2 linked regions of the Oryzias latipes genome follow. The protein of the gene in region 1 interacts with the protein of each later gene in a biochemical or structural test. Links are inferred from orthologs where the notes say so. Each region holds a gene or a part of one and is shown on either strand. Other genes may lie near its edges.

The links.
Region 2: the proteins of wbp11 (region 1) and pqbp1 form a complex in vitro, tested with the Homo sapiens proteins (2 studies listed by BioGRID and IntAct, with this or other methods). The link is inferred for Oryzias latipes from reciprocal best matches to the Homo sapiens genes WBP11 and PQBP1.

What each region holds. Positions count from the first base shown.
Region 1 is NC_019866.2:20,478,092-20,482,603, forward strand, and holds the start of wbp11 (WW domain-binding protein 11), read left to right. Parts: upstream 1-1,426; 5' UTR 1,427-1,593; intron 1,594-1,979; 5' UTR 1,980-2,002; coding exon 2,003-2,066; intron 2,067-2,146; coding exon 2,147-2,178; intron 2,179-2,286; coding exon 2,287-2,380; intron 2,381-2,612; coding exon 2,613-2,809; intron 2,810-3,031; coding exon 3,032-3,162; intron 3,163-3,242; coding exon 3,243-3,409; intron 3,410-3,494; coding exon 3,495-3,680; intron 3,681-3,779; coding exon 3,780-3,899; intron 3,900-4,001; coding exon 4,002-4,283; intron 4,284-4,352; coding exon 4,353-4,512. UniProt on the Homo sapiens protein: Activates pre-mRNA splicing. May inhibit PP1 phosphatase activity.
Region 2 is NC_019865.2:21,319,545-21,324,064, reverse strand, and holds the start of pqbp1 (polyglutamine-binding protein 1), read left to right. Parts: upstream 1-1,703; 5' UTR 1,704-1,792; intron 1,793-2,777; coding exon 2,778-2,844; intron 2,845-2,924; coding exon 2,925-3,036; intron 3,037-3,160; coding exon 3,161-3,261; intron 3,262-4,520. Other genes in the region: timm17b (mitochondrial import inner membrane translocase subunit Tim17-B), read right to left, coding at 1-4, 1,658-1,683. UniProt on the Homo sapiens protein: Intrinsically disordered protein that acts as a scaffold, and which is involved in different processes, such as pre-mRNA splicing, transcription regulation, innate immunity and neuron development.

The sequences.
Region 1 (4,512 bases):
ACCATGATATGCAGTAGGGATGCAACGTTTCACGTTCCCCATGATACAGTCGAATGTTTTTACACACAGTATGATCTTAGAATGCAATGCACGGCCAAAAGATAGAAATAGAATGAGAACAAATATTTCATCAAAGCATGCGACTTCGTACCATAAAAATGTCTATAAGTCTTTTGCCAGTTTTGTGTTGTGGGTGTGGGTCATTTGGCCTTCCAATCCTAATTACTGACATGTTTTAAAACTAAATACACATTTTTTAATTTAAATTTTAAACTAATTACACTTACATTACAATGAAGACACCATAACACTGAGACTTCACTTGCTCTCGTGTTCACATAGTTGTCAACTGTATCATTATTCTGTGGCCAATATTCTGTGGTCTCCAGCTCAGAGGCCTTGTGGTGGAGGGGTTGTGGTGGAGGTTGTGAGTTCAAATCCACCGCTGAGTCAGATCAAAGACTTTGAAAATGGGACCCAATAACTTCCTGCTCAACACCCAGCATGAAGCGGTTGAATTGGAGGGTTAAACTACCAAATTGTCCTTGATAACATTGTTCCGGAGAACGAATTTCCCCCACCTTGGTGCATGGCAGCTAATGGGACTTTAAAGAAACAGCTGATTTACCACAACCCTTACACTCCTCTTACACCTCCCCACCACAAACACACAACAAAACGATGAAGACGTGGGAGCTCAAAGCCTTCTTCTTCAATGATGTTCTGGTGTATGGCAGCATCATTGGGAAGGTTATCCGTTTAGATGAGCAGCTTCCCCATCTGCATCAGTCAGAAAGAGAAAATGAGCTGTCACAGTTAACCTGAATCTTAACTAAACCTAAGAGCAACAGTTCAATTCCATGTAAACAATACTACTAGCTCTCAGCCAGAAAGGCCAAGTGGGCCCCATATGGTTTAAAAGTGAGCAGAAAATGTGGGCAATTGTCTGCAGTTTCTGTGGTGGCCTCACATTGGCTTAAGTGGGCATTCGGTGAACTGGTCCACTTTTTCTGCCCACTTTTAAACATATTTTGCCCACTTGGCCTTTCTGGCTGGAATCGGTGCTTGTTATTGTCATTGCTTGAAAAATATGTCATTCTATTTTTTAAAAATGTTTTAAACATCACATCATCATGCATTTTTTCATATTGTTAATATTAGTACTCGGTAGTTAGCAATGGCAGTATATTGTGTTTCCATTCTCTTAAAATGGCAAAAAACAATCAAACAAACACACATTTTAATAAATAAAATACTTTATAAATATTTTATTTTGTCAGGCAAATACTAAAGGTCGGCATTTGATTACAAAAAAGAAGATGTTTGGCCATAAAATTAGCAAATAACAAAAACTTTCAAACAAACTAAAAATACTCAACAAAAAGTATCTTATTTTGAAATTTTATGACGTCAAAATCGTGTTTCCGCTTTTGCCCGCGCCAGTAAACATGGCGGACGGCTAACGTTGCATTCATACACATTTAGCCCTAAAGTGTTGGGTTTTCTTTCGGTTGTGGCTTTATTTTTTTGCTTTAGGTGTCACGGAGAGCGTGACAAACCCATCGTGGTCCACCAGGTTTTCCTGAAGTAAAGGTAGAGGCGGCGTTGACTAATTTGTTGCAGTTGATGCTAAAACGGGCGTAGCCACAAGTGCAAGCTAACGCGCTAAGCTAGCGAATCTCTGCTGGAGTCCAAGCTTTTTGCTTCGATATGCTTTGCCAGCAGCCTGAATTCCTTCTTTGTTTTACCAAATTATGTAAAAATAAGAGCCAAGAGTTCCGTGTTTACCTGCTAGCTCAACTATTATAAAGAGAAACAGTTAAACTTCCTTCAAATATTAATTTAGCTTTGTGGGATCATAAAACTTACCATCAGTTTGGTATAAAACAGTAACATCAAGGCACTCTAACCACATTTTAGAATATGATTGTAGTTTTTGTTTGTTTACCTCATTACATCGTTTATTCTGCACTGGTTAGGTTAAACGAGACTGACCGCAACAATGGGGCGACGTTCAACCTCCTCCACCAAGAGTGGGAAGTTCATGAATCCCACCGACCAGGCCAGTAAGTACCGACCCGTGCGAGCAGTGATGATCAGATCCAGTCAACATGACTCATTTGTGTTTGTGTTACCTACCTTACAGGGAAAGAGGCGAGGAAAAGGGAGTTAAAAAAGGTACTTGGACTGTTAAGCTGAATATTTGTTGGCTTTTTTTATTCATTCATTTTTTTTTTCTAAACAATTTTATTCTGGATTGCATTTCTTTGCTTTTTCTTTGCACAGAACAAGAAGCAGAGGATGATGGTAAGAGCAGCAGTGTTGAAAATGAAGGATCCCAGACAGATCATCAGAGATATGGAGAAGCTAGATGAGATGGGTAAGCAGCTCCTATTTGCTTTTTTCACTTTATTTTACATCTTTAACCTCCTAGAACCCAAGTTAATCTTTGAGCTGACTCTCTACACACATAGTCATGTAGCCTCAGTTAAGCAGAATTAACTACTGCGGTATTATAACCCATAAATTGATGTCCATGCATGTGGATAAGCTTTTGAGTCACTCTCCATCCTAATTTAAAATAACATTTTGATTCTTTTTCTTGTCTGCAGAGTTTAACCCAGTTCAACAGCCTCTGCTGAATGAGAAAGTACTGAGGGACAAGAGGAAGAAGCTGCGTGAGACATTTGAGCGCATCATCCATTTGTACGAGAGGGAGAACCCGGAAACTTACAAGGAGCTGCGCAAACTGGAACTGGACTACGAGACCAAGCGAGGCCAGCTGGCTCTTTATTTTGATTCAGTGAAGGTAGCTTTAGTTCTTCCTGATCCTTTTTCCTTCCTTTGTTCACTTAAAGATCCTTTATTCTTTTCTTAAAGTATTAATTACCTTTTGAAAAATTTTAAATTAGGTTTTACCTCCAAGTCACACACACAGTTTGGTTTATTTCAAGTCTTTTTGGCTTTTTTTTTTTTTTTTTTTTTTTTTTTTTCTAGTTGCAGGTGTTAATATTTGCATTTTTTCCTCCAGAATGCCGAGTCAGTGGAGGTCGACAGTATTCCTTTACCTGACATGCCCCACGCTCCTTCAAATATTCACATCCAAGACATCCCATTGCCAGGGGCGCAGCCTCCCTCCATTCTGAAGAAGACCCCTTTTGGGTTGGTTTTGTTCAAGTTTCTCTTCCTGCATTCTGTGGGATGTAATATGTTATTTATTGTTCTCATTTTGTTTTTCATAGCAAGCCACTTCTTTCTTCATCCACTGGACCGGTGATGGCATCAGTACCTGGTGTCCCGCGTTTACCTCCAGGAAAGAAGCCACCAGGGCCCCCACCTGGACCCCCACCTCCTCAGGTCCTGGCTCTCTATGGAATTCCTTCTCGGAGAGCTTACAGCACAAAAGCCGGTAACATTCAGACACATCTATGTCAGTGTGTGTGTGTTTTTTTTAAATCTCCTGCTCCTCTTACCTTTTCTTTTTCTCTGCAAAGAATCCTCCATTCCTGGTTTAGATAGAGACGTGGAAATGGAAAGGGATCAGGACAGTGGCAGTGAGAGCGACAGAGATGACCGGGACGATGACAGCGACTCTGAGGAAGACAGCGAGGAAGAGCGAGAAGGAGGGGACAACGAGCGGCAAGATGACGACAAAAAGAGGGAGGAGAACAAAGACAGAGGTAAAAAAAAAGGAAACAAAGATGCTGATCAGCATCCCTGAGTGCATTTTTTTTAATATAATGTCTTGTGTTTTTTTCTCCGGCTCGTATTCCCGGCAGGTCGGAGTGTGCGTTTTGCAGACATGCCAGCGGAAGGAGATGGGAAGAAAAAGAAGAAAAGAGTTGTGAAAAAGAGCAAAGCCATCACTCCTCTGCAGGCCATGATGTTGAGGATGGCAGGTGAGGACGAGGGCCACATCCACATCTCTACAGCATTACAGCTGCCTTTTATTCTCAATATATTTAAATATTTATATCTATTCGCTGCTTTTCTCTTCTCAGGTCAGTCGATTCCTGAGGAGGATGAAGACGAAGAAGAAGAGGAAGAATATACGGATGGATCTGACAGCTCTGACACAGAGGAGAGGGGATCAAAGGGAGAAAAGCAGCCTCATTCTTTGGCTGGTCAGAATCTGCCTCCTACTGCCGGAAATGTGGCACAGCAAGGTCCTCCACCCATGCAAGGTCCTCCAATGACTGGACCTCCACCTCTCGGCCCACCTCCAGCTCCTCCAATGAGGCCCCCTGGTCCTCCTTCTGGTCCCCCACCAGGCCCTCCGCCAGGTTTGTTCAGCTCTGAACCCACGTTTGCATCATTTTTGCCCGATATTAAAACGGAAACTGTTCTTTCAGGCGCTCCTCCCTTCCTGAGGCCTCCTGGGATGCCAGGGGGGATGAGAGGTCCGATGCCTCGTCTTTTGCCTCCCGGTCCTCCACCAGGTCGGCCTCCTGGTCCTCCACCGGGCCCCCCTCCTGGTCTTCCTCCAGGCCCTCCTCCTCGTGGACCTCCTCC
Region 2 (4,520 bases), on another chromosome or scaffold:
GGGGCTGCAGGAAAGAAGTCAGATCATGAAAAATTACGGACACAGAGGAAAAAAATTGCAGATTGACTCATCAGGATCTGAATGAACCAAAATTAGGCCAAGAAGTTAAAGGTGTAGAACTGAAACAAATAACCTTTTTATTAATTTCTTAGGAAAGCTATCAACGATCCGGCATACTTTCCAGCTTCCACAAGAATTCATCTTTGGATTATATTAACTCCAAATCCCAATTTTAGCTGCAGTATATTATTAAACGACAGATGCAGACATTATTTAAGGTCACACTGAACCTGCATTTTCTTTAACAGCTTTAAAACACTTGTTTAAATAATTAGTCATTGGATTAAGACAGCAAAACAGCAACATATTATTGTTCTTTCTGGTGGCTTACTGCTGCAGGAGGCTCAAATGTTCAAAACAAACAAAGATCTAAATGAGAAGACACAGGCTTTTTCATGCTAACTCTTCTATTTATTCTACTTTGTCACGAGTCAAATGATAAATTAAAGGATTTTCCTCTGATTCTTTTGTCTTATAAACTTAGGGGGTTCTCTCCATTCAGATTTACTCTCTAAAGGCAAAATAATGGATCACAGATCCACAGTGTTTTCTTCTGACACAAGGGGAGTGAATTCTGACTTCCTTTAAGTTCAAAACTAGGAATAACCACAAAGCAGGAACAGATCAGAGAGAAACTGATTAGATCAGAACAGAGAAGAGCCAGAGGTGGCAGAGCTTGTAGCTGCGAGGGGGAAAAAAGGAGGCAGAAGGGAGCGGCGTGGGGCAGCAAGCAGACGGAGCGGCGTGGGGCAGCAAGCAGACGGAGCAGGAGCAGACCAAAAAGAGAAACAAATGATTCTGTCTCCATGTTTTTACTCTGATTGGTTTGTGTGTCTTCCTTTTGTAGACGGTGGGGGATCTTTCTGTTAATCCCTCCAAAAACTCTGAACTCAGAAGTAAATGGGTTAACCATAACAACTATCTAATATCTATAATCAGTTAAATTCAGAAGTGTTATTATCAATCTGGATTATCAATGACTCAATGACAAGCATGTCAGCATTTTGATGAGTTGGGGCAGCTTTAGAGGAGATCTGTGTGCCTGAAGCCCTAGAAGTGTCGACTTTACTGAATTCTAATAAACAATCATCCATCTATGAAATAGTAGACAATGTTAATGATTATTCTTTAAAATGTCTGAAAGTTGTTGAGAGATTTAAACTGCATTTAGGATTTATAGAATAAATGTAACTGTGATCTTAATTGCTATTAAATACCATTATATTCTGTGATATATAAAACATCCATTTCTGCACAAGGATATAAATTGGATGTTTCGGCTTGAAAAACAATAAACAAGCTTACTACCAATTAATTAAAAATGTCACAAAATATGTAACATTTGTTCGCAATATGTTTTAAGCTAATTTAAAGCACTAACAGTAAATGTTGTCGTTTTTCCATAAATTGTAGAAATAATATATTTTATAACCTGCGAAATGTTAGAATTCTAGTTGAAATTAGATTACTTCTCGGTGGTGGACGCGAAACTATTCAACCTGGTCAGGTTTCGTTCAACAAGAGGGCAAAATTGCATAAAAGCCAAAGGACAAACTAATATGTTTAGGTTTTATTCGACAAAAAAAGATAATCTCACCAAGGTTCACGCGCAAACTCCTCCATCTTTCGTGTCGTCTTTTAAGCGCAGTGACGTCATAATCAGGCGCCGGCTCATCGTTCGTTGTGGTGGTCTGTTGATTTTAACGATTGAAATAGTCGTTTTTAAGAACAGGTACAGACTTTCCCCCCTCTTTGTTATTTATATAAACGCTTACTTGGTTAATTGAGTTTCTTATTATAGTTAGGAACTTCAAAATGACGGGATTTTGATTTATTTTAACCGCAGCTGTGAGTTGAGTTCAGAAAAACGGGCCTGGATCATGTTTTCGTGCAGATTATTTTAGCTCTTGAAATATTGTTTCTTTGCTAATTATCGATATTTTAAAACTGACTGAGCTACACTAACCTCAATATTTAAAAGACAAAAAAAACTTAACGTTTGAGAGTTTTAATCAATCGCTCCATAGTAGAACCAGAACCATCGAAATAACTTTCAGAAAAGTCCTGTTTCATTTTTTGAGCTGCTTTGAAATTGAGACAGTTTTGTGTGTGTGTGTGTGCGCGCGCGTGCGTGCGTGTTTAAATTTCGCACCTTATCATAAAATTTTCCTCCAGAGAATTTGTTTAGAAACAGTGAAGAATGGATTTGTTTGCTTCAAATACCTTATCTATACAGGTGCTCTGAATGTACACATCTGTACATCTGGATTTGGTCATAGAACATGTTTAATTTCAGAATTTGGGGTAATGGGTGTCTCTTATGTTGTTGCTTTTATGGGTTAGTTTGAAACGAAACAGTTCTGCCAAATTAAAGCCAAATCAGTTATTTAATTAATTGATTTTTCTATAAAAGTAATATTTTGTATTTGTCAGGTTAAATAAAACATTTTCTTTGCTTTTAAAGCCAGAAGTTGAATTTTATTGATTTAAAGTTCAAGTTTTGCTTTATTTAAATCACTAGTTAGGCAAAAATGTTTGTGAACGAACATAATTAGTTTTGGAATGGAACCTTTATTTTTTTTTAAAAAGAATTTATATTTAATCAAAATTTCTGCAATCCTAACTCCTGTACACAATCGGTGAATTCGTATGTAATCAACTGAAGAATTTGTCAGCATTTGCATCATCATTTAATCCTAACTCCTCTGTGCTTGCAGATGCCTCTACCTCCAGCCCTGCTGGCCCGTTTGGCCAAGAGAGGAATAGTTAAACCTTCAGATCAAGGTAGTATTCTACATCCTCACAGAGCTTACTTTCTGCTTTTTTTCTGAGCTTAAAACGACTTTTTCTCCTCAACAAAACAGAGATAGAGGAGGAGATCATCGCTGAAGATTATGATGACAACAATGTTGACTATGAAGCCACTCGGTTAGAAAATCTTCCCCCAAATTGGTACAAAGTGTTTGACTCGACGTGGTACGTAGAAACGAAGTCGATCAGCTGCGCTGCTGTGTTTGAGTATGATCACTGCGTGTCATTGATCTACCATTGAAATGAAAAGCAATTGCAGCTAAAGTTATTTGTTTTCTTCATTTCCCAGCGGTCTTCCTTATTACTGGAACATTGAGTCCGATCTGGTTTCCTGGCTTTCCCCAAATGATCCGTCAGCGGTTATAATGAAAGCTGCCAAAAAAGCAAAAGGTAAGAATTTGGTAAAGTAGATGACTTTGCTCTGCTTTCATTAAAAATTGTTTTACAGAGTTCATAAAATGTCCAAAATATTGGATTTTTACTTTTTGACAAGGGTATGAGGAAACAAAAAAAGAACATGAAGAGCATGAATGTGTAATAAACTCTCATATAGCTAAAGTTTATCCATCTTTATATTCAAACTTTGTTTGTCATGCTACTCAGATAATGATTGTTTTCTAAAACCTCAAAGATGTGGATTTCCTTTTGATTTTTATATTATTTTTATATTATATATATTATATTTACCGTAAATTCCGGGTTATAAAGCGCACCCGATCACAAGCCGCACCCACCTATTTTAACGTGCTTAAATATTTTTGTACATACACAAGCTGCATCAGTATACAAGCCGCTGCCTCAACAAAGCGCATCCTGACTACCAGAGTGTGCATGGCTCATTACCACACTGTGGGCAGGTACTGGCCTTGTCTCAAGCTCATGTATCTAATTACACCCACATCTGAAACGGCATGGACCTCTATTCTGTTCACAAGTTCCTCAGTTATGGGTTTTTTTATTTTTTTTAACTTATTGACAAACTAGGTATCATACATAAAATTACAAACAGTAACCATATAATCAACATTACATCCCTCAGTTATGATGAGGAAATTTATATCCGCGATCCCCCATTTCCCATGAGTCTTAGGGGCTAAAGGCGGGGCCAACGCCCGGCTCGCCACACTGTTGTTCGTGTTTAAGAATGAGCAAGGAGCAGCAGTGCATGGAGGGGTGAAAAGGAACAGCTCTCCTTCCACTTGTGTCGCGGCAGCGTTATGGTACTAACGGGGCTGGTTAAAAAACATCAGTAAAATAGCGCGCGCCTCAGCGCGGCGCGTTCGTCAGAAGCTTCCTCTCACAACAAACACTTGTTGCTCCGCGGACGCCTCTGCGCTCCGCGCTCGCCAAGCAGGCTCCTTGTCTCCCCTTCCTATCCGAAAAGCTCACACGGCGGCTGTGAGCTTTTCAATGCAAAATTCCGCTCAGTCAGAAACCGTAAAAACGACCAAATGGATTTGTGTTTCCAGTCGTGTCCCGACAAAATAAAGGCTGATGTTATTCACACATATTTACGTGCAGCCAGCCGAGTCACTATGACTCAGAGGTAAATACACTTCTGAGCATGCGCTGTTCTCTCCGTCACGCAGCTGACCGGCATTTCCATTTACTGATGGGGGATTTTTTCACGCTGCTTTTAACGATTGCTT